7 linked regions of the Macaca mulatta genome follow. The protein of the gene in region 1 interacts with the protein of each later gene in a biochemical or structural test. Links are inferred from orthologs where the notes say so. Each region holds a gene or a part of one and is shown in the gene's direction. Other genes may lie near its edges. The genes, in order: DLG4, SIPA1L1, KCNA4, FRMPD4, CTNND2, PKP4 and TANC1.

Region 1 (3,989 bases):
AAGCATGGGGTGGAGGTCTCAAGACAAGGCCTCACCTGGGGAACAAGAGAAGCCCCAATTTTCAGAAGAGAGGGGGAGTTGATTGAGAAGTGTAAGATTGTTACTTGAGAATAATCTTGAGGGTATGAAGGCAGGGTAAGGGAGAATGGTGATACACTCTCTGGGGAATCAGAAATTGAGATGGAGTAGCTGGGTGCGGTGGCATGTGCCTGTAGCTACACAGGAGGCTGAGGTGGGAGGACTGCTTGAGCCCAGGAGTTCAAGGCAGCAGTGAGCTATGATCACACCACTGCGCTCCAGCCTGGGTGACGCAGCGAGACTCTGTCTCGGGAAAAAAAGAAAAAAAGAAATTGCGATGGAGGATGAGGCCACGACATTGGTAAGGGATGGGGCTGGAGGGTGTGATAGGGCCAGGGAAGCGGATGGAGAATGGAGGCTGGAGGCTAGGGTTGGAAGATGGATGTTGAAGGGCGAGACAGGGATGGAGATGGAGCGTGTGGGATGCGGGCAGAGACAGGGATGGGAAGCAAATGAATGTCGTAGTGGATGAAGGTGGGTGTGCTGGGAAGGAGGTTCCAGGATAGGGATGGGATGGGGATTGAGGATAGGCTATGGGATGGAGGATGAACACGTGGATGAGATTTTGGCAGTCAGTGGCTGTTGGTTGGACAACAGCATTTGCTGAGATGTGAAGGGTTGGAGGGTGGTGTTAATCGATTTATGGGTGTGAAACCTGTGATACAGCTTGAAAATGGTTGGTAGTTTGTAGGCTTGGGAAATAGCACTAGGAGAGGGGAGGGACCCCTTTGGACGGGGAGAGCGGGAAGGAGACTGGGGAATCCTTGGGCTTGGGCTACTGCAAATACATGTTTCTTTAAGGAGGAAGTAGGTTGGGGACCCCGGAAGGAGGCTCTTGGCGGCCTCCCCCCATTGCCATAGAGACGTGGCTTCGGTTGCCCTGGCAATTGGGGAAGCCCCTAGGACCAGCCTAAAGCTGGCCCCGCCTGGGAGTCTAGAGACCAGGCGATTGACGTCAGGGACCTGGGCACGCCCCACTTTAACCCCTTCCCGAATGAAGTTGGGGGAGGGAATAGATGAGCGGGATAGGACCCGGATGTCTTTCACCACTCCCCCTTCCTGACGTCCTTTGCACTGCGTAGGGTGAGGGGCGTAGGGGAGCGAGGAAGGCAGGTTATTCAGAATGCGCTGCGCCCACAAACCTCTTCAGGCCGGCCTCCTCTCGGCCTGGCTAACGCTGGGCGGGGCCCAGGGCAGAAGAGGCGGGGCTAGCGGAAACCTTCTGCGCTCAGGAGTTTGGTCGGCCTCAGGCCACGCCCCACCCCCCTGTTGTCCTGACGACGGGGCCTCCTGGAGGTGGGTCTCCCCGGGTCTTGGCTGGTCCTAGATACCGTTGCTAGGCAACACGGTCCCTAGAGGAAGGGGTGGATTGGACGTCTGGTTGGTGAGACCAAGGGAGGGGTCTGCAGCTGGGGGAACCCCGGATTCCCGGGGTGCAGGGTTTAGGGCAAATGTGTGTGAAGGTGAGGGACAAGTCTAGGGGAGGATTATGATAATATCCGGGTAGTTATGGGGGGATTGGGGGGGGATGGGGCAGGAAGTGGGTACCAGGACCCGGTGGACATGATCCCTGGGTTGTCCATGTGTAGCACATAAGGCATGTAACACCCTGTGGTGTTACATCCGGTGAGAAGCTCCCTTCCCCCAAGCCTACCCCCCTCTCCCCACTCTTTGCCATCTGCTGCTCCCCTCTCCGTCTGGCTGTCTCCCTTCCCGCTTCTCCTACACCTCCTTCCACATGCAGGGGGCCCCGGGCTGGGCAGAGTTAGATCCATGTGCTTGTGCATCTGTGCGTGTGTGTGTGCGTGCGCATGTGCACGCGTGTGCGTGTGTGTGTGATGTGGAGTGAGACTGGGCCCTTGAGCAGCTCTCAGCGTGGCAGAGTGGGCTTGGCTAAGAGGCTGAAAGGGTAGCCACGCTGATGGGACCCTCCGTTACGGGCTCCCTCTCGAGTCAAGGCTCAGGTGGCTTTTTGTCTCTTGTTTCCCCAAACAGGCCAATTCTCCCCCTGTGATTGTCAACACAGATACCCTAGAAGCCCCAGGATATGTGAGTTGTTTAGATTTTGGGGCTAGGGCCATTGCAGAAGGAAGGAGGGAGTAAGGGAGGGAAGCAGATGACGGGCAGGTTGTGAGGCAGGAATGTCTGTCTCACTGCTTTTGTGTTTCTGTCCCGTGCTGGAGTTGCAGGTGAACGGGACCGAGGGGGAGATGGAATACGAGGAAATCACATTGGAAAGGGTGAGCAGGCTCCTCCATTGGCAGTCCCCTTGGCCCCCCATCTGTACCTTTCTTTCTGCCCATGTGGTCTGCGTGGCCAGCCCCTCACCCTATCCCTTCCTGCTCTGGCTGCTCCAAGACATTTCCCACCCCACTTGCCTTGCCAGACTTGGGCAGTGAGGGGAGCTGACCCTCTTCCCCTCCTTCGCCCAGGGTAACTCAGGTCTGGGCTTCAGCATCGCAGGTGGCACTGACAACCCACACATCGGTGACGACCCGTCCATTTTCATCACCAAGATCATTCCTGGTGGGGCTGCGGCCCAGGATGGCCGCCTCAGGTGAGGAGAGGATACAGGGGTTAGGATGCTTGGTCCCTGGAGAGGGAGGGCCAGGGCAGCAGGAAGCTCTTGGCTCAGGCCCACCTTGCTGCTCCCAGGGTCAACGACAGCATCCTGTTTGTAAATGAAGTGGACGTGCGCGAGGTGACCCACTCGGCAGCGGTGGAGGCCCTCAAAGAGGCAGGCTCCATCGTTCGCCTCTATGTCATGCGCCGGAAGCCCCCAGCTGAGAAGGTCATGGAGATCAAGCTCATCAAGGGGCCTAAAGGTAGTAACTCATTTTGTTCCCCCATCCCAACTGTCCTGTGCCCCCAAGCCTGCTTCCTGGGCACCTGGGCACCCACCTCTGGCCTCCCCTCCATCCAGGTCTTGGCTTCAGCATCGCAGGGGGCGTAGGGAACCAGCACATCCCAGGAGATAATAGCATCTATGTAACAAAGATCATCGAAGGGGGTGCTGCCCACAAGGATGGGAGGTTGCAGATTGGAGACAAGATCCTGGCGGTGAGGACCCCATCTAGTCCATTTTCTAGCCCAAATCTGGGTCTCACCTACTAGCCCTGGCAGGCGCAAGTTCATCACTTCATCCCAGTCCATCTGTCTTGGGCCATTTGTGGCTTTGTCTGAGCTTTGCTTTCCTTGACTCCAGGTCAACAGTGTGGGGCTAGAGGATGTCATGCATGAAGATGCTGTGGCAGCCCTGAAGAACACGTATGATGTTGTCTACCTAAAGGTGGCCAAGCCCAGCAATGCCTACCTGAGTGACAGCTATGCTCCCCCAGACATCACAACCTGTGAGAGCCCTTCAAACGCCAAAGCTCCCCATGACCCATCCCGTTTAACCCATGACATGCAGTCCCATGACATCCCTGTAGCTGTCCCTCTTCAGATATTCCCAATGAAATAGCCACAACCGAGACGGGCGGATCACGAGGTCAGGAGATCGAGACCATCCTGGCTAACACGGTGAAACCCCGTCTCTACTAAAAAATACAAAAAACTAGCCGGGCGAGGTGGCGGGCACCTATAGTCCCAGTTACTCGGGAGGCTGAGGCAGGAGAATGGCGTAAACCCGGGAGGCGGAGCTTGCAGTGAGCTGAGATCCGGCCACTGCACTCCAGCCCGGGCGACAGAGCCAGACTCCGTCTCAAAAAAAAAAAAAAAAAAAAAAAAAAAAAAAAAAAGAAATAGCCACAACCTCTGATCCTTGCTGTTGTCAGAGAAGAGATGGAAAATCAATTACCATAAAAGAACTAGAAAAGATCGTCAATGATCTCTCCCATGGAAGGCACAAAACCTGTTTGGTTTTATGGCTAATTTTATGAAATTCTCAAGGAATAGATAATTCTTCTGCT
Region 2 (3,500 bases), on another chromosome or scaffold:
CCCATCTGTTAATCTTCTCTGCAAATTCATTGTTCTGTCCTGTTTTAATGACTGTGCCCGAGTAAATGTACTAACCATGGACATGGCAAGGAGTGGAGATGTATTCCACCAAGACAGGGGTTGAGGAAGAGAAATGGAGTTCCTAGGTTCTGAAGATATGCTTTGTTCCAGTAGCTTCAGTGAGATGTGCCTTGTTATTGAAGCCATCTGTCATTCTCTACTCTTATCCCACCCACCCCCACACAGAAAACCTGAGCATATTCTGATCTGCTTTTCTACTCTTGACAGAATGTTTTAAATCCCATATGTTTTGATACCGTTGAGATGGTAATGACACATGTGAAAAGGATCCCTTCTTCAGCATGACTTTAGCAACTTTTTTTGGCTCCTGGTGCAGGCTTTGAACAAGGCTGCCAGCAAGCCCTTTGTGAGGCGTGCAGTGTCATGCCTGCCACACTCGGGAAGTCACACAGTGTGAGAAGGGATGGAAAGGGTAATTACAAGGTTCTTCCTAGACCCCTGTTCATTCTCTCACACTAACCTCCCTCTGTTCTTTTTTTCCCTGCATCCACTTTACTTTAGTGGCATCCCACTCTTAATAGATAAGACTTAAAAATGAATGTAGGTGAATTTTTAAAACGTATTTGTTTATCTTTTTCATAAGGTATACCTTTTTTAAAAATAAGATACCCCTGAAGTCTGCCAAAGAAGCCTTTCACCACAGTACAAGAGGTCCAAGTGGTGGCCTTTCACCGTTGAAAATCCAACCCTTCAAATAAAATGTTAAAATAATTTTAAAAATAATTTTTGATATCCCAGCATTCCAGAAAAATAACCCAGCCTTTCCTAACTGGCACATCAGACGGAATCAGAAGGCTTAGCTGGTATAAGCCATTCCAGGGAGAAGTCAAGAAAAATAATTGTTGCATTTTTATTACTCAGTACCCAATATTGAGTATATAATGGGCTGACCTTTCTCTACTCAGTTTATAAGAACAGCATTCTCTAATGACTTGCACTGATTGAGAATGTTTACGAGGTTCTTATTGGTTAGGCATCAGTGTATTGTATCAACAGGTACCCTCCTGACAGTGGAGACAGGAGTTTAACTTACTGACTTGGCTCACTTACCCTTATGGCTGTTTGCTTTTCTGCCTCTGCTTTTGGAAATGGTCGAGAGTCAGAGTCAAGGAGTATTTTGCCCTGTCCTCTACGTGTTAGGAAGGGTGTTTCAGAGGCCCAGGATTCTTGCTATTAGCTGTAGTGGTGTTATGGAGGATAAGTTCTTTATCTCTCACTTTTGGAACCCCATCTTGAACGCCAGCTTGGAGTCCCAAAGGAAGCAATTGTTTTAAGTAAACTAGTTGCTGTGTGTCTTTTCTGTTGTGCTCAGCTTACAGTTATAGAGGACCTCAGGATTTCAATTCTTTTGTCCTCGAGCAGCATGAATATACAGGTAAAATATTTCCAAAGTGTCATGGTAAGTAACACGTGATTGCATCCATGCCTGTCTAGGTAATGTAGACCAAGCTAGGTTAGCCACACTTGGCAATGAATGAATTTCATAAATTTAATTCATATAATCCAAATTTTTCCCCCCAAACCAAAAGTTGATTCTGAACTTTGCTGCGTTGTTCATGGCCTTTGGTTTGGTGGTACTTGGCTATGCTAATGTGTATGATGTGACAAGTTGTCACCAGCTGCAAGCTTTATCCATCAGCCACTTAAGTTTCTGACCTGCTGTCTATCATATAGACTCTTAACAAGCTTACTGCTGAAATGCAGAGTTTGCTGGTCAGTGAACTGAAAGATGCAATGGCAAGCCATCTTCATTTGTCACCATGTGCTTGTTTCTGCTTAGTGCCTGCACCATAATGTCCTATGCTGTATTCCAGAGCCAACATGCCATCTCCCAGCAGTATCAAAGGTACTGCCAGCTTTCCGAGAGAGCCCCAGTGGGAGATTAATGCGGCAGGATCCAGTGGTTCATTTGTCTCCAAACAAACAAGGGCATGTAAGTTAACTGTAAACTTTAAAAAATATTAGATTACTAGCAGTGTACCTTCCTTGCACTGTGAAAATGCTCTGCTGTTTTCTCTACATGGCCAAAGAGGAAATCATTCTGGCAAAGGGTGGTCGTTTGCTGCCATGGCCTTGCAGTTTCTGCTGCTATGGCCTTTCGATTGCTTTGAGATAAATTGTAATTCCTCATTGCTGTGCTTCTGCCACACCCACAGGTCTGGTCATCTGATTCAATCACTAACAATCCTGGAATGTTAGGAATGGAAATGTATTAGAAGTGGATTTTTTTTTGCTTACACAATTGCAAGCATGAGATGTGGTTAGAGTGTCAGTCCTGCTCCAGCCATGGGAGGACTCCAGCAGGACTGATGCTCCAACCATATCTTTGACTCTGCTGCAGTAAAGGAGGAATAGGAGACAGACAGCTTCCCCTGTGCCTCCTCTACCGCTTCTCTTATCTTTCATAGCCATACACATTTCATCCTTTTGCTATAGTAATACACACTTCCTTCTCACTTACAGTAAAATTGGGAATATGAGGTTATCATTCTCCAACCCCCCTCTTATTCTTTTTTTTCCTCACTCTTCTTCCCTGATACTGCTAATGGGATGGGACGCCCTCCCCATGCGGTTGATTTCCTTGGTGTGTCTGTTCACTGGAATGTGTATGTTTATATTCACGTCATTCTATAGAATGAGGAAATACTGTATTTCATGCTTACTAGTTCACTATGGAAGATGCCCAGAGAACTTTAAATGAGAGATGCATGTAAGTTTTGCTGTAGAAAAATGAATATTGAGCCAAAAAAAACAAGGGAGAGTGAGCATGCCCTGCACTTTGCTCTGAAGAAAAAGATTTGCTGAGGAAAATCTTTCTTTTTTTTTTTTTTTTTTTATTATGAGATGGAGTCTCGCTCTGTCGCCCAGGCTGGGGTGCGGTGGCGCGAACTCAGCTCACTGCACCCAGCCTACTGAGCAGAATCTTTCTATGAGGAAAATATTTACTGAGACAAGTTGTGACAATGTGATATTGTCACAATTCTACTTGTAAATGATAGATTATCCCAACTGATCTATAAATTTCTCCTCATTAATAATTTTTATACTGATTACATGATAAAATAATATTTTGGACAGGTTGGGCTAGATAAAATATATTATTAAAATTAATTTCACATGTTTCTTTTCTACTTTTTAAAATTTGGCTACTAGAAAATTTAATATTACATGCATAGTTCCCATTATGTTTCTGTAGAAATGTATTATATACTTTACACTCTTGGTACATCTCAATTCAAACCAGCCATGTTAGAAGTACTCAGTAGCCACACATGACTAAGGGTCACCAGATTTCCCAGCACAGGTCTGGAGCTAAAGAAGTTCTGTCCTATTAAGAATAAATGAAGGTTTTATTACAGCACTTAGTAAGTTGTTATTGAGGAAAGCTAGAGTAACACCAATAAAGTAACTGGGATTGA
Region 3 (3,985 bases), on another chromosome or scaffold:
ACCTTTTCCTTAATTTAATGCAAACAATAACGCCCAGACGTGGAGATTTAAGATGCTAATGATACATACGTCCTATGAAGAAGCATGTTAAACCACTATGCATGCACCAGAAAAACTCCACCTCTACATGCCCTGCCTATAGTTCCCCTTATTTCCCCTTACGGCAGAGGCCCGTAAAAGAAACCCACACCCTGACTTCGAGGAACAGCCCACTTTTTTTTTTTTTTTTTTTTTTTTTTCTTGGTGTTAGCTCCCTTGTGCGCACAAGCTTTAATTAAAAGAAAGAAAGAAAAATCAAAAAACTTGTATTTTGCTGCGATCTCCCTTGATTTCTATCCCGAAGGATCCAAAGAGCCCTCAGGGAGTCGGTACCAGAGGCGTATTTCTTTTTGCAGCAACAGGTTGGCTGCGTGCTCTTCCCCCGCCTTCCAAAGCCCCCAGCCCCTGGCCCACCCCGCGACTTACTCATCTCTCCAACCCTCCTCCCCTAGGACTGCTGCCTCCCGCGCGCAGCCCCTAGCTTGGGCCTGATTCCAATTTCTGTAACATTCCCCTGCCCGGGGTTGAACACAGGTTGAAAGTCGGTCTCCTCCGCGCCCCGGAGGCCCAACCCCGGCGCTGAAGCCGCTCAACTACTGTGTACAAGGGAGGCGGAGACTGAGGGATCTGCACGCGCTGGCAGGCACAGGAGGGCTCCCCGCCAGCGGCCTCGCCGGAGATGCACCCGCTTCCCAACCCAACAAACCCGCTTTGGGAGGGGGTGGGGTGGGGAAAAGAAGACGGGGCTAGAGGGGAGATATAGAGAAAGCAAGTTAGGGAGAGGAGATGTCCCAAAGGACCCCATTTTCGGGACTGCACCTCCCATTGGAGCTCCCCGCTCCCAAGCCCTCTGGGGACTCCCGCGCTGCCGTCGAAACCCCTATTCCGGCCCCAACGGGGACACTTCTCCAGGATTTGCTCCTCGCCTCTGGGGACCAGAGCCAAAGACTCCTGGAATTGATCCCAGATCCTGGGAGTCGGGGGGCCCAGCCGGGGTGCGGGGAGTCGCGGCGTCGTGACTGCGCCCGCCCCGCCGCGCCAGGAGGCGCCCCTGGCGACCGTCGCGAACGCCACACCCTCGGCTCGGCCCTGGCCCCGCCCCCGCCCGGCGCGCGTTCGCGGCCAGGGGAGGCGTGTGCTGCTCCCGCAGCCAGCGAGAGCCAGAGAGGGATGGATGTTGGAGGAGGAATTCGGGCTTAACAAGTGATCGCTGCTGTCTAGGATTTTGTTTCTTTTCGGAGGAACCTTGACTTCCTTTCCCAGGCAATCCCTCCTGTGCTGAACTCCAGAGGAACCAGGAGCCTTGGGGTCTTCTCTGGGGCAGCCCCGACCCCCACCCCCAGACTCCAGCCGCGAGAACCCTGTGCACCCCCCGGGCCAGGCAACAGAACTTGTTCCGTGGATATTTGGACCCTCCACCTGCCAAACCCGAGTGATTCCTTTTACCACCCCCCTCACCCAAGATCATTCTTCCCCTCCTCCAGCTGTTGCAGCTTGAGGGGGAAAAACAAGCCAGCCGGTGGATTTTCTTTATTTTTATTTTTCGCCCCGCCGGGGAACGGTAAGTATGATACCTTTTTTTTTTTTTTTTTTTTTTTTTTTAAATATTTCCTCCACCTTCTTCTTTTGGCTGTTAAGAAACAGTGGACATTTGAGGGATAAATAATATCGGGAATGTGACAGAAGGGCATGAATGGAAGGCGGTTAAAAATAAACCAGGAGGTGGGAGAAGGGAGGTGCGGATGCTGCGCGGCGCTCCAGGGGGCCAACAGTTGTTATTTTCCCAACCCCGGGGATGCGGTGAGTGCGCCCTGCTTAACGTGCTGGAGCGGGAACCGAGGTCTGGAGGCGACGGCGCGATTAAAGATGTCGTTTCCCAACGAGAGGGGGGTTAAGATTTAGCATCGTTTCACCTCCTTCCAGCCGCACCGGTTAACAGCCGGTGAACGAGTCTGAATTGCTGCCTCTCCCAACGTTTGGATTTGCGTGCATTTTCCGAGCATTTGAGCAACATACATAGGGGCTGCATAAATGGCGTGCGTTGAAGTGTATATTTCTCACGGTATTGGCTTCTCTGATTCCCTCTCTCAATTTTTCTTCTCTCTCTCTCTCTCTCTCTCTCTCTCTCTCTCTATCTCTCTCTCTAAGGTTCGGGTACCACCCTGACACTGACACAGTTGCAGGAATTAGCACTGAGAGACGAACAGCCTTGTTGTTGGAGGGGTGAGAGGAGGAGGGGTGGGATGCTTGGCTGTTGTTTGGGGGCGCCGGGATTGGGGAATAGGTAGTCTGCAAAATCCTATTAGTTTAATGGTGTTAAAGAAGAAGACAAATTCCTCTGCAAAGATCTATATCATAAAGGCTCCTGGAAATTGGCTTGAATAGATTCTACTAACAAGAGTACCCTGAGAAAGAAGAGAGATTTTAAACCAGTCTGATTTGCTGGGAGGAATGATTTTTCTTTTCTCTTCTTTTTCTTTCTCTCTCCTTTTCTAGATCAGGGATAGTGAAATAACTAGTAGATGATTAAAAGGAAGGCAATTTGCTACTTGTAGGGTGGAGGAGGGAGTTAGATAAACAAAGACAAATAATCCCAAATAAATAAATAAATAAATGTGAAATTATTTGGTGTAGAGCAGAAAGAGGGCAGTTCTAGAACTCCCGAAGAGCTGATGGTGAATTAGAAGACTCTCTAATTTATGACCTTCTGGGAGTCAGTTGGGTGGGAGGGCAGGTGTGTGTAGTACTCAACTATACAGGAACTTGGGTTACACTGGGGCTTCATTGAAATTATAATTGTTTTGGGGGAGTTGGGGAAGAAACTGAGCAAACTCTCAGGCTATTTGGTCTGTACCAGTCTTGAAAGGATGTTGGCCTGACACTCCACGGTGAATGTCACCCCAGGATGGTTTTGTAAGTAGGGATTTAGTAACTCCTTGGGGGTAAACATTTCAGAGTATGAGATGATGTTAGGAGTAAGGCAAAGAAGGGAGATGGCATGTGAGAGGCCCTCAGTGGTGTATTTTCTGGAGTTTGTGTTGCAATCAAATGCCCTCCTTGCCCTAGGAAAATGTGTATGATTGGGAAGGGGTGTATGATTGGGAAGACCTCTGTTTGCCACTTCCATGCTTGTCACTTCATAAAATTTAGTGTGTTTAGGCTGCTAGGCTGACAGGATCAGCAAGGAGCAGCAGGTGGTCAAGAGCTGAATCCTGTTAATGGCTTCAGAAAGCCATTTCTCTTATGCTTTCCAAGTGCTTCCAGTAATAGAAGCTGGTAGATGCCCTGAATTCTGACTATCATCATTCTCTCCAGTTCTCTGGGTTACTCCCTGCATTCTTGGAAGTCCTGTTGAACAGAGTACATGGAAAAATCAAGAGGAGACGGGAGATTTGGATGGGGGCTTTTATAGGACCTGGCTGAGGAGATGAATTACCTGGATCTTGGGAGAGCAAACTAAGGAAGAAGAAGGGCCAGGAATAACAGGTGACAGAGGGAGCAGATTGGAACTGCAAGGGACATGCAATTCGGAAGTGGGAGATTGTAAATAAAAGTGGGCAGAGAGAGAGAGAGAGAGAGAGAGGACGAGGGATGTTAGGGATGTGGATTTTATTGAAGTGGGGGTAAGTATGATAGGCTAAGAATGAAGTTCACACAAACTGACATTTTAAAAAATAAGAGATAGCACCTTGAGCAGAGTGGAGGAGGAACCATTGAGGTGAACATGGAGCGACCGCCAAAGAGAGAAGATGGTTATTAGAGATGTGGAAACTGGCATTAGTTCCTAGCCTGTGGGTGGTAGAGAGTGTTCAGGATTCAGGGGAACAGAAAAACAATGGGGACATGCGGTAGGGAGCCAGGCAGTGCCAACTTAACGACGGCCACTGGTGAGTCTCAGGATGTACTGTATGTCCTCATGTCCCATCTTCCCCTACTTTAGTTAGTG
Region 4 (3,500 bases), on another chromosome or scaffold:
AGATTAGTAGGATTTTAGCTTCATTTTACAGATGAGCAAACCGGGCACAGAATAACTTGCCCAAGTCAAATGGCTATTAACGGGGGGGCAGGGGGGATACAGGATTCAAACCCAGGCAGTGGGACTCCCCATTGTCCTATAGATTGTGTGATGGGTTGAGGCACCTGTGTTTGGAAACACATGTAATGCTAAAGCTTTGGACCTCACCCACACCCTGCTTGCAATCTCACCTCCAAAAGATGTATAAACTAATTAAAATCCCACTTTCCAAAGAAGCTTCTCATGGGCTGCCTAGAAAGCCTTTCTAAATTCCACAATGCCAGGTTGACCCACCAGGGGGCAAAATGGCTTTTCTCAATAAATTCATGAGCCTGTGTTGGGAAGGATTAAATCTCTAACTTGCTGACTTTAACACCACTGTTCTGACAACTCTCAGTCACCTGTTGACATGTAGGGAAAAATCCTCATGTGCAATTTGAGAACCTCAGGCCTTCAGTTCACTCCTTCCAAATGCTTTCTCTCTCTCCCCACACATAAGCATGACTGTATCCTGAGAAAGACTCGGCTCACAAAGAGATCTTGTGCTCAGCTGGACACATTCACACCCTCCTCCACTCTCCTTTCTAAAGTTCTTGGGGACAGGTGAAACTGGCTGCCATTTGAAAAGGTGGCCTGCACAACCTGAGATGATTTTCAGACAATTAAAATGCATTTATTTTCCTACTTTCTGTACCCACATTTTACCAGGTTGAACATTGTACAGTCAAAAACGTCTCAGAGATATCCGGCTTGAGTAAAAATCCTGAAAAGTCTATAATAATGTTCTCATTCATAAATTCCTTTGACCAACAAATATTCATTGAGCATTTTATATAGCACTCACATTAGGACAGTAGAAAATACTAATATGTATGAATTCTATTCCTGGCCATTGAGGAACTTGTGCTCTGATTGTAAAAACAAGATAAAAAGACAAGAAAAGTAATTATTTAAAACAATGATACAAGTAGGATTACAAGATAGCCCATAAGTAGTGCCAAATGATGGCTAAAGACAATAAGTACAAGTTGAGAAGGAAGAAAACATAATCATGAAATATACCATTCTTAACTAGTGAAGAATATGAATGGTCAAGTGGTGGAGGTAGGTTGTCTGCCTACCCTTCTTTGGAGAGGACCTGGAACAGGAGAAGTAACTGGAATCCTCTTGAAGGTCTTCACATAATTTAGAAGACACTGGTTAGACACATAACCTAGGGTAGGATTTCTATTCCAGGATAGATTTCCTAGAATTCAAAATATGGGACCTTCTAAGAAAGGAGTTGTAGTCATTTCTGGGGAAATTGGCTCTTTGTAAAAATGTATTAACTCAGCCCCATTTGTTGTCATTTTGTTGTACATCCATACCCATGAATGATGCCAGCATCTCCAGATCAATACCGGGCACACTTAAGAGTCATGAATCACACCCAATTCCACACCACCAGCAAGAAATGTTGATGGAAGGAGTTAGACATGAACTGGCTAGGACAAAAGAATTGTGTGTGCCTAGAGAAATAGCCATGGAGGAGGGGAGGGACAGGGAAGAATGGTTTGGGGACATGAAGGACTTGCATCCATTCTTCTAAGAGAAGAGAGAAAGAATGTGAGCAGACAGGGAGACTGGAGAATAGAAATCAACAAAGGGATGGAGAGAAATTGGTGTTGGAAATACAAACTCGGATACGTCAGTGACTTTGAAGAGATTCAGAAGTTGGTTGGACAAAATGTCTCTTCACTTTACATTGGCTCCAAATGCCTCCTTAGCATTGTCTCTATAGAGTGAGGAATAGATTTCTTTTTAAATGCAAACATACGTATTAATGATCAAGTAGTGTGTGTCCTGAGTGCAAACTAAAAGTTACTTCCTTAATTGGGGACTTGTCTCCATTCTCTGCCTTACCAAGGGTTCATTTGTTCCAACAAACATCAGAGCACCATTTTGTCTTAGATAACTCATCATCACAAGAATGTGAAATTAAAGATATGCTCTTTATTGCAGAAAAGAATGGGGATTAGAGACTTTTCTTCCCTCTGCTGTGCTGCAAAGCATGAAAGAGAAGAACATAAAGAAAGCACTTTCACACCTTGTCAAAGCAAATCAAAACTTGGTACCACCGGGTAAAAAGGTATCACATTTGCATCTTAATAGAAAATTATAAAGAAAGAGACTTGAATGCATTTTTTTAAATGTTTAAAATTAGCTCATGAATAAAATACTTAGTACCATATTTTCAGAAGCAGTAACACTGTGTAACTTTTTTCTAACTATTAACATATTTCTAACACTAATGAAAAATAAGTATTCATACAGAAACCTATTTATTTCTCACAAGTTATGGACTCCGTACTGTAGGGGGGAGGTGTGTGTTCATGTGCCCATCCAGGAAAAGTTTGCATAGCCTCTGAGAACTTGTGAATAGAAGATAGAATTGTGAAATAATTCTATGTTTCAATCATGCAATTGCTTACTGCTCAGACCAGCTTAAATGCACAACAGCCAGCAAGAGGCCCTGCAGGCCAGAGATCACATTCATTAAACCAGGGATCCTCAACTGTGGCATAATTGACATTTGAGAACAGATCATCCTTTGTTAGGGAGTTACGGGGAACATCCTGTGTATTGTGGGATATTTAGCAGCATCCCTGGTCTCTACCCACAAGATGCTGGTAGCACCCTCCCATGATCGTGACAAACAAAAATGTCTCCAGACATTGCCAAATGTGCTCCAGGGAACAAAATCACCCCTATTGACAAACATTGGATTCAAACCTACCTTTAGAGGGAAGATAAAATTATTGCTGTCATTCACCATCATTAGTGTTAAAATCTTTTTATGCTTTTGTTTTGTTTTCATTAAGTAAAAGAAACACAAAGGAAATTTTAAAATATACTGTTGGTCAGAAAAGAGAGGTATAGTTTATAGGTAATAAAAAGCAAAAGATTCTAGGAACCAGAAAGAGAAGGAGCCTTAAAATACTGGATCTATAAAATTGGACGCAGTCTTCTAACTGAAGAACACTTTCCAATTGATATTAGCTGGAGAAATTTGTGTGACTCTAATACAAATCACTGTTTACATGGAGAATTATTTTGTCTTAGTGTCTGATTTTTTTAAGTCGTTTTTACTGGGTAAGGCACATTTATTTCTATCCCCTCCACACCCCATGACGGTTTTTTTTGTTTGTTTTGTTTGTTTGTTTGTTTTTTAAGTATAATCAGGTTCACCACACTATCAGCCACCTTTAACTCACTTCTCAATTTCATGGGAAGGGTGTCTTTGATCACAGTTGAGCATTCAGCTTACAGAGATGTAGCAAGACAATGCGGGTCAAGTTCTTAACTTCAGTTCTGATTTGCTGGAAGCTGATTTCTCTAATTGACTTGTGATTTTTCTTCCAAGCCTGGCCCACTCATAATAATTTGGATAACTGCTATAAGATCAATCAATCTATCCATTT
Region 5 (4,279 bases), on another chromosome or scaffold:
TTTGCAGGTGAGACCAAGCCTGTGTGTGCATGTCCACACCGGGGTAGCAGGAATAAAAGCGAACATTTGTATTGTTGTCAATAGTCTATGCTTAATCTGCTCCTCCTAGCAATTATTTGTTACCTATTTAACCTCTGTATGACTTTTCTCCTTTACTCTTCCATTTATATTTCAACTTACTCCCAAGTATAATAAAGAATAGACTTGAATATTCAAATCATTTAAGTTTGTTGGATAATCTCTTCCAACACAAAATAGAAGCACAATGTCACTGAGAATCATAAGCACCAAATCCCTCTTATTACAATTTCCTGCATTCTGTCATGCTTATTTGCGTTTCAGAAACAAGCTCTGCGGAGGGGTGGGGTGGAGGAGATCGCAACCTCAGACAGTCTGCGGTGTTCAGGGTCATGCCTGTGGCATAATTAGGAGGAACATTCGCCCTGGCCCCTGGGCAGGCTGTGCTCTGCTTGGCTTGGCTTGTGAATGCAGCACGAGTGAGCCCCCTCCTGACTCCTGAGTCAGAGGGACAGGGTCGAAGGCCCAGAGGTCTTCCTTGGCACATGATTTGGGTTTCGTTTTTCAACAAGACTTTGAATACGGTGATTCTACTTGCTGTATTTCACAGCAGGATACGCAAGAAGTCCCGATGGGGTCAAGGAGCAGTCAAGCCAGGAGGTGATATGGAAAACCGATCTGAACTTGAAGAAGGCAATGCGAGATGCATTGGAAAACTGTGGGGAAGGATTAGGGGAGTGGTTCACTTTTGCCCAGGAAAGAAGGAAGAAAAGGAGGAAGAGAAGGTGGCAGAGGTGCAGCAGAAGAGGCCAAGAGAGGAGGACAAGGTGGCACAAGAGGGGGAGGAGAGAGAACTTAATCTGTTCAAGTTTCAAACTGAGCAAGGGTCTTTCTTGCAGGAAGTTTGCAGGCATTCCAGATTCAAATCTGAAGTGATTTTGCCTAAGGAGAAACTTTCACTACCCTCCAAAAACATGCCATCTGAACAGGGAAGGTGATGGCAAGATTGGGCAGGTGCTGTGGAGAAGACCTCTCTGCTGGACGTCGTGCCTTTTTAGCTCTGCAATCACAGGATCTGCAAGAGCATCCACCTGCGCCCAGCAGCACTTTCTGCCGGCCTCCCTTCCCCAACCCACCTAGCCACTGTAGGACCCCTCGCACCCCTGGCCCTTTGTTACAGGCTGACATCTGCCCCAGCAGAGTCAACTGTCAGCGCCTTGCACGTGAATGAGGAAAGCGGTGTTAACCTGGGGTTCCATCCCTTCCCAGGTCCCTTCCAGCTTTCGCCTAGCTCCGGAGCATCCAACCATCTCAGGTCCAGGGCGTGCGTTCCCAAGGATGCTCGGCCCTCTCCCAACCCGCGGCCTCCTCCCCTCTCTCCCGCGGCTGCCGCTGCTGCCGCGAAAACCAGGAGAACTGGAATGCGCGCGGCGAAGCGCCGCTCTCGCGGCGGCACTGGGCATGCTCCGCACCCGGGGCCGGTTTCGGCGGCGGGGCGGACGCTCCCTTACTAGCCGGGCGCCCGGGCCGGCCGCCGAGGCTTAGGTGGAGGCTGAGGCTGCCGCGCGCCGCGGGAGGAGCCTCGCCCTCGGCGGCGGCGGCGGCACAGGTGGCGCGGGCCGCGCGCGGGGCGCAGCTCGGGAGCGCTCGGCGCCTGGCGCCGCGGCGGCCCCAGGCTCGCGCCCGCAGCTACAGCCGGCCGAGCGGAGCGGCGGGCGCGGCGGCTACTCTCTCAGCCCGGCCGGCTGGCGGCGGCGCCCGGAGTCCCAAGGAGCCCGCAGGAGCCCGCGGAGCCCGCGGAGCCGGGCAGGGGGCGCTGCGCTCGCCGCGCTCGGAGGGGCCGCCGGGCCGGGCGCCGCGCACTAGCGTCGGGAGCCGCCTCTCGCCCGCGGCGCTCGCCCCTGCCACCCGCCAGCATCCCTTGTCCCGCGGCCGCGCTCAGACAACAAAAGCGGAAGATGCTGCAGTTGGGCAAGGTCAGGACCTTGCCCTGAAGCCGGGCGGCGCCGCGTACGCCTCTCCCCGGACTGAGGAGCTGTCGCCGGCGGCGGGTGCATGTTTGCGAGGAAGCCGCCGGGCGCCGCGCCGTTGGGTGAGTTGCGGGGCTGGGCGGCCGGGGCCGGGCAGAGCCTCTTCCCGGCGCCGTCCTCCTCCTCCTGCCGCCGGTGGGGGTGGTCCTGGGCTCCCGGCCGGCGGGCGGGCGGCGGCGGCTGCTGCGGGGGTCCTGCCTGCCTCGGGAAGGACCGCTATCGTGCCAGGTCCCCCTCGGAAGCCGCTGTGCCTGGAAGGGGGTCTGGGGTTAGTGCCTTTCTTGGAGCTGTTACCAAGTGGCTGCCCTGCGTGCTCCCCCTCCCTGCCACCCATCTCCCCGGGAGGAAGCGTATTTAGGGCAACACCGACAATGCTGCTCCCTGCCACCCAGAGAACATACCCGGTGCATTCATGACGTCCCTAATATACGGGAGGAGACGGGGTGGGGGTGGGGAGGACTTCCCTCCAGTCTTTTGCCCTTATGTTCAATGTCATTACGATGTTTGGCTAGAACAAAATGGAAAGACTTAGTCATATGCGTCCATGGCCATGTCTTCAGGCTCCCGCGGCTTGCCAGACCCAGAGCCCCCTTGGTCTATATTTAGCGGCTTCCGAGCAAGCCTTTGCTGCCGGCTTCACAGGTTTCGGGGGCTTCTGCTTGCTGACAATAGACAGCCAGGCTCTGGAAAGCGCTGCCTGAAAGCCAGGTTTGGAAGGCTGTGCGTGTGTATGGGAGATAAGCGATGCGAAATTGGGGTGATCCGTAATTAATGGCTGAAAGCGAAGCTGCTTTTTTCTTTTTTCCCGACCCTCATCTTATTCTGGTGTGTAATGTGTTTTCTTCGATTGCCACTCGGCAGGTTTGAGCCTCTACGTTCAGAATTAAGTCACTAGAAAGGTGATGCAGCCTTCCTGGTGTGTGTGGTAGGAAAACAGACTTGGGAATTTTTGGGGTGTGTGTTTGTGTGTGTATGTGTCACAAAGAACAGTTACTTCCAGAATGCCCAAAGTTGTATTTTGCTGTAACCGTGGGGGTATGAAGGGTGTGGGAGATGAGAGCGAGCGGGGCAGGTTGTGGTTCCAAGGTGTTTTTTTCTTTTCTTGTGTGCCTCATTTGAGCTGCTGTGGTTCGCCTTAGCTCTGGAAGGTGTTATTAAGATGTATTTTTACTGTGCTCAAGCAAATACGTTTATTTAGAAAACAGAGAATGTTATAAGCATAGTATTAGGCCTGACAGGTGTAAATTTTCACTTTTAAGAACTATGTGACCAATATTTAAGAGGCTTGGGATTTTCTGCAGTGACTTCCATGAAAATAGGGAGGTGATGAAACTCCCTGGGAGTTATCTCATTGTGCATACTTCATCAGGGGCTGAAGCTACCGAGGGGAGTCCAGCTCGTCTCAGCTGCTGGTCGTTCACCTACATAATGACAGGGCTTCGGGGCTGCACCACTTCTAAAATCCCATGGAGAAGTGTTTGCTGTGACTCATATCAAGTTATGGCGGTGAACCTGTGCATTATTTTGGGGATTTGTGCTACGAGAAGTGTGACATATAGGGGCGAGTATCCTCAAATATGAACTAGATGCTTTAAACTGCCCTCAGCTGTCTTTTATTAACATATCGTTGCCATACGCAGAATCTGTTCCTACTGTTGTTGGGGGAAAATGTTAAGTGGTATCGTTAGTGATCTGTGGGTTACAAGGGCTCAGGGCTTGAAGGAAGACGATTACATTCCAAGTTAAGTGTTGAAATTTGGGAGGCCTTTGATTATACTCATCACAAGTCAGTGTTGCAGAAGGACTGGCAAGGTCTATATGGCTCAAGTTAATTGAATACTGTGATTAGTTTTTAGCAATATTGCCTTAGTTTCACCTTATTCACATTCAGGGAACTTTCCGAGAGCACTTTGAACACACCGTTGTGCCCGTTGCATTGTTTTAATATAAAATTTCTTTCAAAAAAGAAGCAGTAGATGAAGTAGCATACATTTCTCATTTCCTTTTCTTTTTTCGTTTTGAGCCTAGTGTTTCAGTCTTAAACATGATTCTTAAAGGACTAGTTAGTATTGCTCTTTGCCTGTGTGTGCACCCAGAGCGGCCGATGGGCATGAGAAAAACTACATGTACTGTATATGTGGGTTTTATGTTATATTGTGGATTGCAAATGATATTACCTGATTGAATGGCAATTGTAGTAAGTACATGAGGTTGTTGCTCTAATAAAATTG
Region 6 (3,500 bases), on another chromosome or scaffold:
AAAATGTATGTGAAATGTTTCTCTCTTCCTTCTGTGCCAGAGTGTCCAAAAAGAGTCCTAAGGATAGATACGGTATTATTAGATGTTGACTGAAGCTGGGCTAAAAAAATCCTCTGGGCCTTTCTGAGGTCAGGACTTAGCACCATGTGTGTTTCCTGATGACCCAGGCTTACTGGGTTTAAATTGTTTCCTTGATAACCATAAAAAGAATTATAAATTTTATAGACTGGGTGCTCTTATTCAAACACGTTTAGAGATGTGGATATTTTTTAAATAATTAGAAATCAAAACATGCCATAAAACTTCTGTTGACTGAAGAGCTATACATAAAGGATAATAGGTGGGTATTTTGCAAGCAACTGAACTGAGATCATAAAATAACAGGTATAACTCTTGCATGGCTAGTAAGTTATGATCACTCACTCAGTTTCAAAGGCCTAGTTAAAACATTGAGACACACTGGTGGGGAAACCTGCATGATCTCTACACTGTGCCTCTTTAGCCGGGCGGCTTGCCCTCCAGCTTGAGAGTGAGCCCCGATGCTGACTTTGCTGAGTTGTGCAGTGGCGGGCCTGCATGCAGGTCGCACTTGCGGTACTTGGGTCTAGCTGCTCTTCACCTCCCAGCACCTCTGAGATATTTTCAGCACCAGCTGTGTGTCATTTCTAGTTACTGACCTTTGTGTTTCTGGAGAGGATTTTCCACAGATACTGATGCTGATTTCTCTTTCTTCCCCTCTTTCTCTCCTCCTTTGCCTCTCCCTTCAGTCGGCAGCACCTCTTCCTCACCAGCACTGTTAGGAATCAGAGACCCTCGCTCTGAATACGATAGGACCCAGCCACCTATGCAGTATTACAATAGCCAAGGGGATGCCACACATAAAGGCCTGTACCCTGGTAAGACGCCAGTTGGGTGTGTGATACAGTCTCTTGAAAAGCCGCATTTGCAGGCACTCGGCCAGTGGCCTGGGAAGTAGCCTGTGCTTGTATTGAGACGGTCCCCCAGCAGCAAACCATGTTCCAGTCATTCCCTTTCCTACTTTGGGGATTGTTGCCTTTTCTGCTTGTTTAAAGTAAAACAAGCATGTACTTGTATGTATGTATGTATGTATGTATGTAGCTGTACGGTGGCCACAAATAAAAAGAGGGCTGTATCCAAATAAATCATTTCTGGCTGCTCACTGGCACAGTCCCTTTGCTCCGTCCCCTCCTGCCTTGAGCAGTCTCTGTGTTTTCCACATGCATCAGAACCCTCAGCCCGGTGTCGCTTTGCAGGGGCTACGTCTTCTAGACAGGCCCATCTCTTAACTTCAAACCAGAGAATGGAGATCAATTTCATTTACATTTTCATGGAGAAGAGTTTGAATAAATAGCAAAAGGTATAATGTGATTCTTCTCAAAGTGATTATTTTTTAAGAATAACAAAAATAATGTTACATAGTGTTAATATTTTTATATCCTGTTCAGAAAGCTGTGCATACAATTTATTTAAAGGATACCAGCCCAAAGGGTTACTAAGATTTCATACTCTTCCCATTCTCAACCGTCCAGCAGATTATAACTACTTTAGATGTTCCAAATAAGTCAGTGTAAGCTACCCCACAAAAAGTACTCTTTTCTCAAACCTATTAAAAATAAATAAAAGCTAGTGTCAGCTTTACTCCTGCTGGGGGAGCAGTCTCCGTTGTACTGTTGTCTTTGAAATTGTGATTTCACAGGACTATTTACTAATCGACTGTTGTTACTATGGCAATTAATAGCTCAGAAAATTGCAGATGCTACATTTCAGCACCAAGCTCTGTGCAAAAGGAAATGCACATACCAGCTGAAGTGCATGGTTGCTTCCGACTTGCAGCAGCCTGCCTTATCTTACAGATCGCCTCTTTAGCATGCATGCCCTTCTGTATCTTCTTCGCTTGCTTCAATAAACTAATTTGCCTCAAGTACGTTTCATTTTCCTCATTAAAAAAATAAAAATCTTTGCTAGCCTTAACAATAATGGAAGGGTAACATCATCAGGAGTCTACTATGGACTTTTGAAGACAATTATCTCATTATTACCAAGTTCCTTTTGTATTAAAACATACTTAAATATAGCAGGCACAAGACTGTGCCTCCATTGTTGCCCAACGGCTGCTCCTTCCTTGACCTGAGATTTTGAATCCCAGTTGTTTGGAAGGCATGGGGCTTGTTCAAATACTGTGTTTCGCTTCTCCTCTCTGACCCACTGCTGTAGCTCGGAGCCCTGGAAAAGGGGTGTTCCTCAGCTCAGGATCCTGTGCTGCTGTCCAAAGCCAGCCGGAGAAACCCTCCCACGTATGAGCAGAGCTTGAGCAGGAACCTTTGCGCATGGGCTCTGCACTGGCATTGCTTTTTGGGGAAACACACGCGGCCTGTTTTTGCCATAGTTTTGCTATTAGCCGCCCCCAGCCCTGAGTTAAGCAGCAGCCAGGCCAGATCCAGACCCTGAGCTGCTACCTCTCCCAGCCTGCATTGGCACTGGGGAAGGCAGGCCCTGTCGGGGACAGCACTAGCCCTAGTGCAGGGGAGACCGCTCAGCCTAATGGACCAGAGTAATAAGCACTAGTTTTAATTTCATAAAATATTTTCTTACAGGCTCCAGCAAACCTTCACCAATTTACATCAGTTCCTATTCCTCACCAGCAAGAGAACAAAATAGACGGCTACAGGTGAATTTGCAATATCATTTTTACAGAAGGCCGATTAGCAGTTAACACAGTAAGGGGTCCACGTCGGTTGACTTCCCAGAGCTGGGCCAACACGGCAGGGTCCTAGATGCTTTCCCTGGGGATCTTCACTCCTTGGAAACTCACCCGTGGTTTAAGCAAAGCATTTCCACGGTAGCCTCACGTTCTTAAGTATCCACATCGGTACTGCTGAGACCACCACGCCACTGATGGGGACAGCCAAGAAGTCTTTAGTTCATGTCCTTTGCCCAGCGGTGTCCTTTTCCCACTCTTTTTCTGTTAAGCTTTAAAATCTCTTCCAGCCTCTGGGTGAGGGAAGGTTGGTAAGCACACTTCATGCCCTCATCACCTTGTTCTCTTTTGTGTATACCTCATTCTCCATCTCACCCCTCTCTGTCCAGGCTCCACAATTTAAAAACACTGAGTCCATGGCCAGGTCTGTTTGTGTCGGTGGTCAAAGTGGACTCAGCCCCTGCCGGAATGGACCTCACTGTGGGAGAGTGGGACTGGCGGTTATAACACATCCCGGCTTTGCTTTCATGAAGGGCCTGCAGTCAGTCTCAGGTCCTTCCCGGTGCCGTGGTGAACCTGGACCATCTGGTCGCTCCTCTTCCCTTTCAATAACAGAGCAGCTGGAGTTTCCTAAAACAAGACTGTATCCTGTCCTTCAGATAAGGATGTGTTCTAAGACCTCTCCTTCTCATCATCTTTTCTCTGTAGATGGAAGAAAACGAATTTTCCAAGTTATTCATAATTTATGCCATAGTTTTTTAGTCAGGAAAAATAGACCAGA
Region 7 (3,500 bases), on another chromosome or scaffold:
TTGCATGAAATTATTGCTTTACCTTTGGGGTTTTTGGGCCCTGAGTAGTGTTCAGGATTTTGAAAGCATTTATGGGTAAATACTGAATGTGAGTCTGACTTTTGCACAGGTAACATCTGAGAATCTTAGGCATGCCTGAGAGGGCAGAGTGGCCCACGTTTCCTGCTCAGAGGGTCGGGAGCACCTGGGCACATAGCTCAGCCACTGATATCTGCCTGCCTTATTCACTGGCACCTCTGTTGGTGGCTTCGAAAATGCCTCAGAAAGCCGAGATAGCTGGCAGGTGGTGGCTTATGGCCCTGCTGCAACTTTTAGCTCAGCTTAATCGTATTTGAAATTGAGAATTAGCCAAGAGCTGTGGAAGTGCTGAGGCTGCTCTGTTGCAGATTTTGGTGCCGAAGCTCTAGTGACTGGGAATCTGAAAACAGGCCTGTGAAATCTTACCATCTCCTGCATCTGTTTAGATACAATCTAGGGCATTTTTGCAATCCTTTATTTGGAATGTCTTTTGTGGTCACATATTTTTAATCCTTTCAGCTGTTATAAATTTATAAACTGTTATGTTCTAAGGAGTCAGGGGAAGAAGGGACATAGGCAACACGTTTGAAGCTCTAAAGCATCTTTGTATTCTCTAGGGCTGCAGCATTATGTCAGATGTTCATGACTGTTCTGGCTCTGAAATGAGTTATAGATTATGAATATGGCTGCCTGCCCCTTCTACCTGTGCTTTAGTGGGTGCATTTATCATGAGGCGTGTAAGGAGAAGGGTCCCAGGGCTCAGGCAGGAGCCTAGAAATGTTCCAAGCTGTGTTACTACAGGGAGGTAAGAAGGTTGGGGGAAGACAGTGTAGTCCTGTTGGCCCTCCGGGAGGTTTTATACACCCTGCTTACGAAGGACCTAGAGAGAAGCTAGAGGCTGCCCTTGGATTACTATACATTTGATCCATTTAAAAGCCCTGACAAGGAATTAGCCGAGGCTTTCTAATGGGAAAGATTTGTGTGGTAACTGGCAATGTGCACAGAGTATTCACCTAAATGTGTATACACTGTGGATATGCACCAGGAGGATACAGAGGCATCGGTGCATGCTGTCGTGAAGTCAAGGTTTCAGGTGTCTCTTGCTGGCTGGGAGGATGAGTAGGCAGGGCATGTGTTGGATTGCCCGCTGGAGGATGCAGTGAGAGGGGATATGCCAACACAGTCAGGCCTGGAGCCACCCAGGTAGCTGTTGAATGAAGGAGTGAGAGAGGATGATATAGACAGTGAGGAAGAGAAGGACTGAGATCTTAGTGGGGGGAAATAGGAAGGGTGCAGGTAGGATGGATGGCACTGGTCGGCAGCCGGATGCTGGGTCAGAGCCTGTTGGGCAGCCAGAGGGTTTTCCGAAGACAAGTGGCCCAACTTGACTTCTGTCCCCTGCACCTTGGTCCCACTGAAGATGTCCCCAGTCCTAAGAAGCCTTTACCCAGGCACTATGACTCCCTCTAGGCTCTCATTTGCCCTCAAGTCACTGTATATTTTCTTGTCCTGGAAGATAATAATCTGACTAAGATCAACAGTACTTCATGTTGGGCTTAACCCATAAACCAAATTAGGTTAATTTTAGATTTTCCTCAATGTAATAACAGGAGGGGTTTTTAAAAGGCAAAAACGTATACTATATACTTGCTTCTAAGATTTCTTGAGAATTAGCAAAATTATTTTGTGCTAGTTATTTTTGTAATCTAACTTGTATGAATGTTTGAATAGATCTTTAATTTTTTTTTTTTTTTTTTTTTTTTTTTTTTTTTTTTTTTGAGACAGAGTTTTGCTCTATCACCCAGGCTGGAGTGTAGTGGCACGATCCTGGCTCACTGCAACCTCTGCCTCCCGGGTTTAAGCAATTCTCCTGCCTTAGCCTCCCAAGTAGCTGGGATTACAGAGACCCGCCTCCATGCCCAGCTAATTTTTTGTGTGTTTTAGTAGAAATGGGGTTTCACCATGTTGGCCAGGCTGGTCTGGAACTCCTGACCTCAAATGATCCACCCGCCCTAGCCTCCCAAAGTCTTGTGATTACAGACATGAGCCACCGCACCTGGCTTTTTAACGCTTTATAACAAATACTTACATGATATGAGTCTTACGGATTTGGTCAGAGGTAAATGTAACTTATTTTTAGAATTAAAAAAATACACCTATAAAATGCAGTATGATATATAATGTTTATATAAGTCTACACATATTCGAAGCTTAGGAATATGATTGTTCTATTACTACTGAGCCAACTTTTAGAATTGTACACATAGAATCTGCCCATTTAATTAATAAGTTTGGCATTCCAAACAGCGGAAAGCTCCCCAGAGCTGCATAGAAGAATCTAGCAGCATGCCACCTGCTTGTGGTGTAAGTACTGAAGCTTTGCTGTGTGCCACATGATTGTCAGATTTCTTCATCAAACAATTTATGGTGAATTCTGTCTCTTTCCAAGAATAATGGAGAATTCTGGCAACTCAGTCAACATAACTTTAAGAAAAAGAAGCACTTGGTTTTTACCACTTTTCAATGGATACTGCCAGAAAAATAAACTGGGGCAAACAATACCAAAATGACGTTTAGGTAAATTTTGTTGAAAACCTGAACTGAATTGCTTAGTGATTTATAAATTATAGTCACTTAGGTATGAAATTTAAAGTCACCTTTGAAGATCCTAAACTTCAGTTTAATATTACAGCAACAAGCTCAACCAAACTGGAAGATCTGAGTTATTTAGACGGGCAGAGAAATGCTCCTCTACGGACGTCAATTAGATTACCGTGGCACAATACGGCCGGAGGTAGGGCACAGGAAGTTAAAGGTATTTATCCTCACATCCACTGCAATAATGGTTATGATGAACTCAATCAGTGACTTTGAAAGTCTGTGATAACCAGCATTGAAGCCAACTGTGTTTATAACATGATGGAAAGTGTGTGTGTTTGTGCTAAAAGCATATCTGTGAGGTGGGCTAAGAGGTCATCCTCAACGGTTTGGGGCTTCTTCCTTAAAATATGTGATTAACTTGCTTCTGGAATTGAAAAAATAATTCTGCAGTAAGTTATTTTGAAGTGAGGGGTAGTTGAACACTCATTAGGTGCTTATTATTAACAAAGTATAAGCTTTGTTTCAATTCTTGGACTAGGCTGGGCACGGTGGCTCATGCCTGTAATCCCAGCACTTTGAGAGGCCAAGGCGGGTGGATCACCTGAGGTCTGGAGTTCAAGACCAGCCTGGCCAACATGTTGAAACCTCGTCTCTATTAAAAATATAAAAATTAGCTGGGCATGGTGGCAGGTGCCTGTAATCACAGCTACTTGGGAGGCTGAGGTAGGAGAATCACTTGAACCCAAGAGGTGGAGGTTGTAGTGAGCTGAGATCATGCCATTGCACTCCAGCCTGTGCAACAAGAGTGAAACTGTTTCAAAAAAAAAAAAAGAAAAAGAAAAAGACAAAATCCCTTGGACTGTATTGGCGATGTTCTCTGT

The links.
Region 2: the proteins of DLG4 (region 1) and SIPA1L1 form a complex in vitro, tested with the Homo sapiens proteins (2 studies listed by BioGRID and IntAct, with this or other methods). The link is inferred for Macaca mulatta from reciprocal best matches to the Homo sapiens genes DLG4 and SIPA1L1.
Region 3: the proteins of DLG4 (region 1) and KCNA4 form a complex in vitro, tested with the Homo sapiens proteins (8 studies listed by BioGRID and IntAct, with this or other methods). The link is inferred for Macaca mulatta from reciprocal best matches to the Homo sapiens genes DLG4 and KCNA4.
Region 4: the proteins of DLG4 (region 1) and FRMPD4 interact in a biophysical measurement, tested with the Homo sapiens proteins (2 studies listed by IntAct, with this or other methods). The link is inferred for Macaca mulatta from reciprocal best matches to the Homo sapiens genes DLG4 and FRMPD4.
Region 5: the proteins of DLG4 (region 1) and CTNND2 interact in a test that uses a peptide from one of them, tested with the Homo sapiens proteins (2 studies listed by IntAct, with this or other methods). The link is inferred for Macaca mulatta from reciprocal best matches to the Homo sapiens genes DLG4 and CTNND2.
Region 6: the proteins of DLG4 (region 1) and PKP4 interact in a test that uses a peptide from one of them, tested with the Homo sapiens proteins (2 studies listed by IntAct, with this or other methods). The link is inferred for Macaca mulatta from reciprocal best matches to the Homo sapiens genes DLG4 and PKP4.
Region 7: the proteins of DLG4 (region 1) and TANC1 interact in a test that uses a peptide from one of them, tested with the Homo sapiens proteins (2 studies listed by IntAct, with this or other methods). The link is inferred for Macaca mulatta from reciprocal best matches to the Homo sapiens genes DLG4 and TANC1.

What each region holds. Positions count from the first base shown.
Region 1 is NC_133421.1:8,688,422-8,692,410, reverse strand, and holds the start of DLG4 (disks large homolog 4), read left to right. Parts: upstream 1-1,189; 5' UTR 1,190-1,374; intron 1,375-1,399; exon of another isoform or gene 1,400-1,529; coding exon of another isoform or gene 1,530-1,541; intron 1,542-2,073; coding exon of another isoform or gene 2,074-2,127; intron 2,128-2,258; 5' UTR 2,259-2,261; coding exon of another isoform or gene 2,262-2,288; coding exon 2,289-2,318; intron 2,319-2,510; coding exon 2,511-2,635; intron 2,636-2,733; coding exon 2,734-2,903; intron 2,904-3,001; coding exon 3,002-3,138; intron 3,139-3,283; coding exon 3,284-3,428; intron 3,429-3,989. UniProt on the Homo sapiens protein: Postsynaptic scaffolding protein that plays a critical role in synaptogenesis and synaptic plasticity by providing a platform for the postsynaptic clustering of crucial synaptic proteins.
Region 2 is NC_133412.1:144,854,760-144,858,259, forward strand, and holds part of SIPA1L1 (signal-induced proliferation-associated 1-like protein 1), read left to right. Parts: intron 1-1,393; coding exon 1,394-1,456; intron 1,457-1,895; coding exon 1,896-2,014; intron 2,015-3,500.
Region 3 is NC_133419.1:35,232,790-35,236,774, forward strand, and holds the start of KCNA4 (potassium voltage-gated channel subfamily A member 4), read left to right. Parts: upstream 1-1,185; 5' UTR 1,186-1,600; intron 1,601-3,985. UniProt on the Homo sapiens protein: Voltage-gated potassium channel that mediates transmembrane potassium transport in excitable membranes. Forms tetrameric potassium-selective channels through which potassium ions pass in accordance with their electrochemical gradient.
Region 4 is NC_133426.1:12,330,068-12,333,567, forward strand, and holds part of FRMPD4 (FERM and PDZ domain-containing protein 4), read left to right. Parts: intron 1-2,040; coding exon 2,041-2,167; intron 2,168-3,500. UniProt on the Homo sapiens protein: Positive regulator of dendritic spine morphogenesis and density. Required for the maintenance of excitatory synaptic transmission. Binds phosphatidylinositol 4,5-bisphosphate.
Region 5 is NC_133411.1:13,057,473-13,061,751, reverse strand, and holds the start of CTNND2 (catenin delta-2), read left to right. Parts: upstream 1-1,479; 5' UTR 1,480-2,073; coding exon 2,074-2,110; intron 2,111-4,279. UniProt on the Homo sapiens protein: Has a critical role in neuronal development, particularly in the formation and/or maintenance of dendritic spines and synapses. Involved in the regulation of Wnt signaling.
Region 6 is NC_133417.1:63,540,984-63,544,483, forward strand, and holds part of PKP4 (plakophilin-4), read left to right. Parts: intron 1-767; coding exon 768-896; intron 897-2,615; coding exon 2,616-2,689; intron 2,690-3,500. UniProt on the Homo sapiens protein: Plays a role as a regulator of Rho activity during cytokinesis. May play a role in junctional plaques.
Region 7 is NC_133417.1:63,990,937-63,994,436, forward strand, and holds part of TANC1 (protein TANC1), read left to right. Parts: intron 1-2,710; coding exon 2,711-2,833; intron 2,834-3,500. UniProt on the Homo sapiens protein: May be a scaffold component in the postsynaptic density.